Linked DNA regions of Saccharomyces cerevisiae S288C. The protein of the gene in region 1 interacts with the protein of each later gene in a biochemical or structural test. Each region holds a gene or a part of one and is shown in the gene's direction. Other genes may lie near its edges.

What was found.
Region 2: the proteins of SNC2 (region 1) and SED5 form a complex in vitro, tested with the Saccharomyces cerevisiae proteins (3 studies listed by BioGRID).
Region 3: the proteins of SNC2 (region 1) and SEC9 form a complex in vitro, tested with the Saccharomyces cerevisiae proteins (5 studies listed by BioGRID).

Annotation. Positions count from the first base shown.
Region 1 is NC_001147.6:930,044-933,124, reverse strand, and holds SNC2 (SNAP receptor SNC2), read left to right. Parts: upstream 1-2,043; coding exon 2,044-2,391; downstream 2,392-3,081. Other genes in the region: ATP-binding cassette multidrug transporter PDR10, read right to left, coding at 1-1,322; MYO2 (myosin 2), read right to left, coding at 2,680-3,081. UniProt on the Saccharomyces cerevisiae protein: SNC1 and SNC2 are vesicle-targeting proteins essential for normal secretory traffic between the Golgi and the plasma membrane. They may also be involved in vesicle fusion.
Region 2 is NC_001144.5:194,950-198,527, reverse strand, and holds SED5 (t-SNARE syntaxin), read left to right. Parts: upstream 1-2,055; coding exon 2,056-3,078; downstream 3,079-3,578. Other genes in the region: aspartate transaminase AAT2, read left to right, coding at 443-1,699; ESCRT-III subunit protein SNF7, read right to left, coding at 3,354-3,578. UniProt on the Saccharomyces cerevisiae protein: Required for vesicular transport between the endoplasmic reticulum and the Golgi complex. Acts as a target organelle soluble NSF attachment protein receptor (t-SNARE).
Region 3 is NC_001139.9:509,191-512,790, reverse strand, and holds the start of SEC9 (Sec9p), read left to right. Parts: upstream 1-1,788; coding exon 1,789-3,600. Other genes in the region: nicotinamide-nucleotide adenylyltransferase NMA2, read right to left, coding at 59-1,246. UniProt on the Saccharomyces cerevisiae protein: Component of a SNARE complex that may be the effector of SEC4 function in exocytosis.

The DNA of each region.
Region 1 (3,081 bases):
ATAGAGGTCAAATAATCTGCTGTGGTCTGCCTTTCGGGACACACATATCCCATTCTTTGAAAGTACTTTTTGGCCTGCTTACTTGGGCCAAAGAAGATTTGGTAACCATCGTAAAGAACACAGACTTTATCGAACAAATCATAGGCATCTTTAGAACATTGGTAAATGGCCACAGTGGCTGCAGACTTTGTGATAGTGGCTTGCGTTTTCAAGGCCTTGATGAACTCCAGCGCGGTAGCAGAATCTAAGCCCCTCGTGGCATTATCCCAGCACTGAAACTTCGAGCCACATATAGACACTTCAGCAATGGAAACTCTTTTCCTTTCTCCCCCGGATACACCACGAACAAAATCATTACCCACTTTTGTATCTGCAGTGTGGCTCAGTCCGTAAGTTGCCATTGCCACTTCAGTCATGTGTTTGGCAAATGTGTCCCTATCGACACCCTTGATTCGGTTCCTTGGTGTCTTCAGTCTTGCCACTGTGTATAAAGTTTGGAATACTGTCAAGTGCGGGATGTGAATGTCTGATTCTGCATTGTAGACCACTTCACCACGGTAATGGTTTTTGATCTCTTTGTTGGAGAATCCATTGTACGTGATGATTGTGTCCGGAGAAATCTTGAATCCGTGTGTATTTACAGATATAGATTTCAGCAGCGTAGTACATCCTGCACCGGGTCGTCCAAGCACAACAAGTAGTTCCCCCGGATTGATGCATCCGTCCATCGGCTTCAAAATTTGGAAACCGGAGTCATTATCTTCACTCTTGCCATGTGTCCGGTGGAAAAGACGTCGGGATATGCACCTCCAACTCATTTTCAAGTATTTGATGGGCATATTACCAAATGTTCCCTGATATGTTATATCGGCAGAATCACCGGAGGCACTCAAATCTTTCCAGGCGCAACCTAATGAAAACGGTTTATAGAAATCCGAATCATTCTCGCATATTTGTGCCATATTTCGTACCCATCTGACACTCGAGAAATTTTCTGATCGAGGATCCAATGTCTCATCGTAGTCTGGATCATTGACGTCCAAAAGGATTGGGTTAACTCCCTTGATATCACTAGCGAAAATTGACCGGCTCAATGACGATGAAGAAGCAGCAGTTAGTGTATTCGGGTCGCCAGTGCCGGTAATACGCTTTTCTTGCGATAAAAGGGAAGATTGGCTCGTCAGCGTTCTTGCCAATTCTTTTATTTCTTCTTGAGCTGCCGCGTCGAGGCCTTCGTACGGCTGTGTTTCGTTAGGTGGGCCGTCCGGCGCAGCATTTCCTTGATTCAAACCCGAGTTTGAACTTGAGGGCGCTTGCAACATCCTAACAACTATGTAAGACCAGAAATTATTGTTTGATTTTTCTACTATACCGGAAACGTTTACTAAGTATAGAAATATAATAACGCTAGATATCTTCTATGGTTCTGTCACGGGGAGAGATAAGAAAGTAAGATGCTTGCCCAACCGTCCTTCCTTATATACTTACATAAGGCGCACTATGTGGGGAAAACCTATCAAATTATTGGTACTGATGACAGCAGGTGTATTATTAATACGAACAAAATAAAAATATGCCGACCAATTCTGTAGTAGTACTGTACTATATTGAATATTAAGGGTTTTTCTGGTCTTAGCGTATCCCTTTATCAGTCCGTGGAACAAAGCCACGGGCGGCTGTAACAATGACCATGGAATCATTCAGTCGCCCTAAAAGCGCATTCCACGGAGCGTTTATAGTGATCTTGGTCACATGATATACGCGTGACTTTTTTTTTATTTTTTCTCCCTGTCTTCCGCAAAAGTGGCTCAAAATTCTTCGGATTTTGGCATTATAGCGCGAATGGTGCAGCGCAACCAAACAAACACCAGTTGTCGCACCCAAAAGATGCAAAAGCGGGGAGCCAGTTAGTTTTCCTTCAAGTTTTGGTTGAAACAGCCTTTAATATTTTATAGAAAGGTAAACTATCTGCTCAGTGAATAGTATCTGTAAGTCAGGCATACATTCGAAACACTTCCAAATACAAAATAAGAACGCGCAACGATGTCGTCATCAGTGCCATACGATCCATATGTGCCTCCAGAGGAGAGTAACTCAGGCGCAAACCCAAATTCCCAAAACAAGACTGCTGCTTTGAGACAAGAGATTGATGACACGGTGGGAATAATGAGAGATAATATCAACAAGGTTGCTGAACGTGGTGAAAGGCTAACATCCATTGAGGACAAAGCTGATAACTTGGCTATCTCCGCACAAGGATTCAAGAGAGGCGCCAACAGGGTCAGAAAGCAAATGTGGTGGAAAGATCTAAAAATGAGAATGTGTTTATTCTTAGTTGTTATTATTTTACTAGTGGTAATTATCGTTCCTATCGTCGTCCATTTCAGCTAACGCTCATCGGTTCCCGATGCTAATTCTAAAAAATATATACAGTAGTCATAATAGTAATAATAATATAATCATAATTTATAAATTCAGTAAGAAGCAAAATGTAGTTTAATATAGTGTACACTAATACGGCGCGCGGTTAATATCTTCCATAATATCGATTTCATTATCATACTATTGACAAATACTTCTATTATTAATTAACTATGTAGTTTCATTTTTTTTTTTCTCTTTTTTTGTCATTTCTTTTTTTAGCATTCATGTACAATTTTGTTTCTCGCGCCATCAGTTTTAGTGGCCGTCTTGAACGACTTGTTGGGCAACAAGGTCAACTATTCTCTTAGTTGAGGGCAAGGATAACCACGCTGGTATATAGGCTTCTACTTGGTCAAATTTTCTTGTCTTTATCAAACTGAATGGGTCAGTAAATGGACCTGTTTCTGGAGTGATAAATATACTGCTGCTATGCTCGTGACCCTTAGAATCATTACCTGATGAAGATAACGCAGCTTCTTTCTTAACTATATCAGCAACGTATCTTAAGATTTCCTGTGGAATTGGAGACTCATAGTCTGCCACCTGGTATTGTGAAATCAATTTTTGCAATTGTGCAGGTGTTAGCGAATAACAAATTCCTCTTAAGATATCAATGTCTTCGATAGTATACTTACGGACTTGCAGTAGCTTAGCGGT
Region 2 (3,578 bases), on another chromosome or scaffold:
CTCAATGTAGGATATTTCATTTAACTGCACTAGTGGCATCTATTATACACAATTACTCCAGTAGCTGCCACAAAGCACCCAAAGATAAGAATAATTACGGAAAATGAAATTTTTACTTTGAATATGATGATATGGGCATTGCAGGTTTGTAGTAAGAGCAATTTACAGGAATTCCTGACGGAATATTAATGTTTTCTTACTGTTTAATGCGATGTACATATTGTCAATACTAATGGTCACCACTGGAAATGGCTATCTTTCGTCTTCGTGAATAACGATCGCCGAGAGTCGGACCGAGTGAGTCAGCGTGATCGGCCTCATTTACCTTGTCGCCTTGCACGTCGGTATATAAACGTATGTGGATACTTTAAGAAGGGAAAGCGCAACCGTCCAAATTCTAATGAACAAAAGAACACAGGAATACAAGAACACAAGAGCGATAATGTCTGCCACTCTGTTCAATAACATCGAATTGCTGCCCCCTGATGCCCTTTTTGGTATTAAGCAAAGGTACGGGCAAGATCAACGTGCTACCAAGGTCGACTTGGGTATCGGGGCCTACAGAGACGACAACGGTAAACCATGGGTCTTGCCAAGTGTTAAAGCCGCCGAAAAGCTAATTCATAACGACAGCTCCTACAACCATGAATACCTCGGTATTACCGGTCTGCCAAGTTTGACATCTAACGCCGCCAAGATCATCTTCGGTACGCAATCCGATGCCTTTCAGGAAGACAGAGTAATCTCAGTACAATCACTGTCTGGTACGGGTGCTCTTCATATATCTGCGAAGTTTTTTTCAAAATTCTTCCCAGATAAACTGGTCTATTTGTCTAAGCCTACTTGGGCCAACCACATGGCCATTTTTGAGAATCAAGGCTTGAAAACGGCGACTTACCCTTACTGGGCCAACGAAACTAAGTCTTTGGACCTAAACGGCTTTCTAAATGCTATTCAAAAAGCTCCAGAGGGCTCCATTTTCGTTCTGCACTCTTGCGCCCATAACCCAACTGGTCTGGACCCTACTAGTGAACAATGGGTTCAAATCGTTGATGCTATCGCCTCAAAGAACCACATCGCCTTATTTGACACCGCCTACCAAGGGTTTGCCACTGGAGATTTGGACAAGGATGCCTATGCTGTGCGTCTAGGTGTGGAGAAGCTTTCAACGGTCTCTCCCGTCTTTGTCTGTCAGTCCTTTGCCAAGAACGCCGGTATGTACGGTGAGCGTGTAGGTTGTTTCCATCTAGCACTTACAAAACAAGCTCAAAACAAAACTATAAAGCCTGCTGTTACATCTCAATTGGCCAAAATCATTCGTAGTGAAGTGTCCAACCCACCCGCCTACGGCGCTAAGATTGTCGCTAAACTGTTGGAAACGCCAGAATTAACGGAACAGTGGCACAAGGATATGGTTACCATGTCCTCCAGAATTACGAAAATGAGGCACGCATTAAGAGACCATTTAGTCAAGTTGGGCACTCCTGGCAACTGGGATCATATAGTAAATCAATGCGGGATGTTCTCCTTTACAGGATTGACTCCTCAAATGGTTAAACGACTTGAAGAAACCCACGCAGTTTACTTGGTTGCCTCAGGTAGAGCTTCTATTGCTGGATTGAATCAAGGAAACGTGGAATACGTGGCTAAAGCCATTGATGAAGTGGTGCGCTTCTATACTATTGAAGCTAAATTGTAATGATTAAATAATACTTATACTTACCTATTACACTCTTCATATTTTTTTTAATGTAAAGAAAGTAAAAAAAAAAAAAAATAAAAAAAAGAGAAATGCTCTTTCTTTACCTTCACAGGTGTATTATTATGTTGTTGTAATATCCGGGTAGGTTTATTGATCGAGGCGAGGCGAAAGGGCATATTCGAAACAATCATTATGATAATAATGTCAATATAGAAATTGAAAAAAAAAAAAAAATCCTACCGCCGCATCGACGCTCCTGTTAGACCTTTGAACGGAAATCACCCACTCTTTACTGTATATATTTTATTCCACCTCTGTTTCCAACGACCATTTCACCATACCACACAACTCCCATGAACATAAAGGATAGAACTTCAGAATTTCAACAAAGTGTGTTGAGTTACAAGAAAAGAAACAAAAACTTTAGAGAACAGCAGAGGGAACGTCTACAAGAGAAAGAAAGTGAAAACTTTGCCAACAACACAACCGGCAATGGGAAAAGTGTCTCTGAGTTTCAAAAAAAGGCTTCTGGCATAGCTCACGAAATTTCATCCACCGCACAATTATTATCGAAATTAGCAGTGCTGGCCAAAAGGAAACCGATGTTCAATGACAACCCTGTAGAGATTGCCGAGCTATCATTTTTGATCAAAAGGAAGATTTATGCCATCGAACAAAGTTTAGTGCAATTAAGTCAGCTCAAGAAAACCGACGTGAATGGCAACACATCAAATCAATCTTCTAAGCAACCTAGTGCCGTACAGCACTCCAAAAATGTCGTAAATCTTTTAAACACGCAAATGAAAAACATATCAGGAAGTTTTAAAGACGTATTGGAGGAAAGGCAACGACTAGAAATGGCTAACAAAGACAGATGGCAAAAACTAACCACCGACACTGGACATGCACCAGCTGATGACCAAACGCAAAGCAATCACGCCGCGGACTTGACCACGTATAACAACTCCAACCCATTCATGACCTCACTACTAGATGAATCCTCAGAAAAGAATAACAACTCGTCCAACCAAGGAGAACTGTCTTTCCCTCAAAACGACTCTCAACTAATGTTAATGGAAGAGGGACAGTTATCCAATAACGTCTACTTACAAGAAAGAAATAGGGCGGTGGAGACAATAGAATCCACAATCCAGGAAGTGGGAAATCTCTTCCAACAACTGGCCTCCATGGTTCAAGAACAGGGCGAAGTAATCCAAAGGATTGATGCAAACGTAGACGACATCGATTTAAACATTAGTGGTGCTCAAAGGGAACTTTTGAAATACTTCGACAGGATAAAGAGTAATAGATGGTTAGCCGCAAAGGTTTTTTTTATAATCTTTGTATTTTTCGTTATTTGGGTTTTAGTCAATTAAAAGCAAAGTAAAAGAAAAAAAGATACATATTTGATTATTTATTTTTTTTCCTTCTCTCATCTTTTCTGTACAATAATATAGCAATAACAGATAAAAATAATGAATGCACATTCCCTTCTATACCTATGAACGCAAAAAAAAAAGACAACAAAAAAATAAAAACTATTAATTATGACTTAGCATTATGAACTTCATGTATATAAAAGAGCGTATACAGAACATGGAAAGTAAGAACACCTTTTTTTTTTCTTTCATCTAAACCGCATAGAACACGTTCAAAGCCCCATTTCTGCTTGTAGTTCTCTTAATGCTTTTTCATCTTCATCTTCTTCATCCTCTTCCTCTTCCCCGTCCTTCACAGAGTTCTCACTTTGTTTAATTTTATTACTTGGAACACTAGGTAGTGAGACTTTGTTCTCTGAGATAGGCGCCGCATTAACATTATTATTAACGATCTTGGACGTTTCTTGGTTAGCATTTTCTTGAGCCAGCATGTCCAA
Region 3 (3,600 bases), on another chromosome or scaffold:
CACCTTGAAGAGGAAAGTGGTAAATTTGAACTGCTGCAGTATCAGAGTTGTAATAAACTCACTCTTTGCTATCCAAGACCTGCTTGACCGGTTCACTTTGATTAATGTATAGATTATACTCTTGGATGTAACGGATGACAGAGTTTGGAAGAAGATATTGAACTGACATTCCACGTCTGATGAAAAGCCGCACTTTCGTAGAGGAAATATCATTGTAAATAAGTTGTTTGATAATAAGGATATTTCTTCTGTGTTCATACATGATATCATGGGAAAGCAAGAAGGACCTAACATCAGAACCAGTCCTTTCCACGATCAAACATCCATAATTACCCAAAATATGGTGCAGGTCTGAATCAGCCCACACATGAGGCTCGCCCATGGATTCGATAAGATCACCGCCTGCCAATAACATGATTTTTACGCCCATTTTTTCACCATCTACAGTCATGATTCCACCTCTCTTGATATTTATTTCATGATTGAAATGGTCCAAGACTTTTGCTGTCCTTGTATAACTTGATTGTAAAGATTCCCAGGCATCAACCATTAACCAAGATGATGTCCGCTCGCATGCTAATTCGCACATGCGGACACGATGATAAGCTGGGGCTAACCCTCGCTTTTGATAGTTATCACTTACTGGAGAAAAATAACCACCAACCACTTCAAAACGCGTTTGCTCATTGATATCATCTAAAGCCATTTCAAACATTCTCAAATGTAGGTATGTTATGGGAGAAAATGATCCACAAGCAACGATGATCAGAGGCAGTTTTTCAGGATCTTGTAACTTTTTCGTCAATCTGTGTACAGGAAATTCGTAATCTTCAATAGTTCTGGCTTGTCTTACAATTGTGTGAGGAACTTCTTCCAAATCAGCAATTTGGCTCTTCAGTACCCCCAAATTCCCAGTCATCGTAACATCCTGTAGAGTAGCGTCAATTCCATTCGATTGCCCTTCACTTTCCTCCTCCGATGATACATCCCGAGATAGTGGCTGGAAGTCACTAGTATTTAATGGAATATGGTCCATTCGGTTGCTTGAGTTGGCGTTTTTTTTCCTTGACGACAGGGTTTTGTAAATGTCGAGATTGAAAGGAGCATCGATCGAAGAATTATAATCAGCTAAAACATATGGAACTATGGGTCCAGATTTTGGTATCGTATGTGTTGGATCTGGCGGTGGTTGTAGTTCTTCATTTGGCTGTGGCGGTTTAAAATCGGGTGCTTTGGTGGGATCCATTACGTAATAAGTGCACTTTTTCTTGCCTTCTCCACTTTAAACTCTCTCTCTCTCTCTACTTAACAGTGGAGGAACAGTGACTAAGGTAGAGTATGATTGTACTATAACTTACAGTCTACTGTCGTCACGCTGGGTCAATTTACATTGTTATTTTTCTTGGAGACGACACCGTCACATATGGACAGCGAGTATGGTAGATGGTATAAGCAAAAAATGGCCAGAAACAGGCGATTATTTGGTAAAACGTAAAGATTGATCAAGACGATAAGTTTGAGAGATTGTGAAGCTAAATAAAATCGTATTGCGAGTATTTTACATTCCATATACGAATAGTACGATATCCATGTGGGGTGCGACTCAGAGACTTTCTATTACCCGTCTTTCAAAAAGAAATGAGATACGTTGATCCTGCTTTTAACAATTTCGAATCGTTTGCGTAATTATATGACTTGCTCCGGTGTATAAATAAATAAAGTACATTCTTGGTACTCCTGAACCTAGCCTGGAGTAACTCGGAATAATACACCATTGACACCAAAAGAATGGGATTAAAGAAATTTTTTAAGATTAAGCCTCCAGAGGAAGCGACACCAGAACAGAACAAGGATACTTTGATGGAACTGGGTATTAGTGTCAAAAACCCTAGCAAGAAAAGAAAAGAGAAATTTGCCGCCTACGGTAAATTTGCAAATGATAAAGCTGAAGATAAGGTATACGCGCCACCAGGTTATGAGCAGTATGCTAGGCCACAGGATGAACTTGAGGATTTGAATGCTTCTCCCTTAGATGCCAATGCTAACGAGGCAACTGCTGGTTCTAATAGAGGTTCAAGTGGCACGCAAGATCTCGGAAATGGAGCAGAATCCAATTCTATGCAAGATCCGTACGCTATCGAAAATGATGATTACCGATATGATGACGATCCTTATGCAAGGTTTCAAGCTAATAAAAGTAATGGGAGAGGTAGCGTCAATGCTGCGCCTTATGGTGATTATGGAGGGGGGTACAATGGCACATCTCTGAATTCATATAATAACGATGGCCCGTATAGTAACCAAAATACTTCAAACAGCTGGGTGAATGCGAATGGCCGTAATAGTTTAAATCATTCAAACAGCACTTTAAACGTAGGGCCTTCGAGGCAAACAAGGCAACCGCCGGTTTCAACGTCGACCAACAGCTTATCGCTTGACCAAAGAAGTCCCTTAGCAAACCCGATGCAAGAAAAGAGAAATCCTTACGCTGATATGAATAGTTATGGCGGGGCGTATGACTCCAATACTAATAGATCTAGCGGTACTCGACAAGGAAGCTCCAAGAATGCAAATCCATACGCCTCTATGGCGAACGACTCATATAGTAATGGAAATTTGAACAGGTCTGCAAATCCATATTCTAGTAGAAGTGTGCGTCAACCGCAATCGCAACAAGCTCCAATGACTTATACGCCCTCTTTTATTGCTTCTGATGAAGCAGCACGCAATAGTGAAGTTGATTTAAATGAAGAACCTAGAACAGGTGAATTTGATTTTGAAGAAGTTTATGCTGACAAGTCTGCAGAAAATAGAGCGGCATTAGATGAGCCTGATTTGAATGCAGTAATGACGAATGAAGATTCAATAGATTTAAATGCGTCCGAAGTTGATCATAGTTCAAGACAGCAGCAGCAGCAACAGTGGTTCATGGATGAGCAGCAACAGCAACAGCAACACTTTAACGCAACAAATAACCAATATGGAGATCAAAGGGGTTACAAAACATTTGAAGAAATACAAAAAGAAGAGGAGGCTCGCCAGCAGCAGGAAGAAGATGAAGCAGTAGATGAAATCAAGCAGGAGATCAAATTTACGAAACAGAGTTCCGTAGCCTCTACTAGAAATACACTAAAAATGGCTCAAGACGCCGAAAGAGCAGGTATGAACACATTGGGTATGCTGGGTCATCAAAGTGAACAATTGAATAACGTAGAAGGAAACTTAGATTTAATGAAGGTGCAAAATAAAGTTGCAGATGAAAAAGTTGCAGAACTAAAAAAATTGAACCGTAGTATATTGGCTGTCCATGTTTCTAATCCGTTTAATTCCAAGAGAAGGAGAAGGGAGAGGGAAGAGCAGCTGAAGAATAGGAAAATTGAAGAAAAATTAATGAGAGAGCAAACAAGTCAACAATTGTCTCAGTCCACTCAAAGAATAGAGGGTGCTATGAACGCAAATAATAACATAAGTGAGGTGCGGGAAAGATATCAGAGGAAGAATGTTCTAGAAAAGGCAAAGAGATATCAGTTTGAGAATGATGAAGAAGATGACGAAATGGAATTGGAAATTGATAGGAATTTGGACCAGATTCAGCAGGTT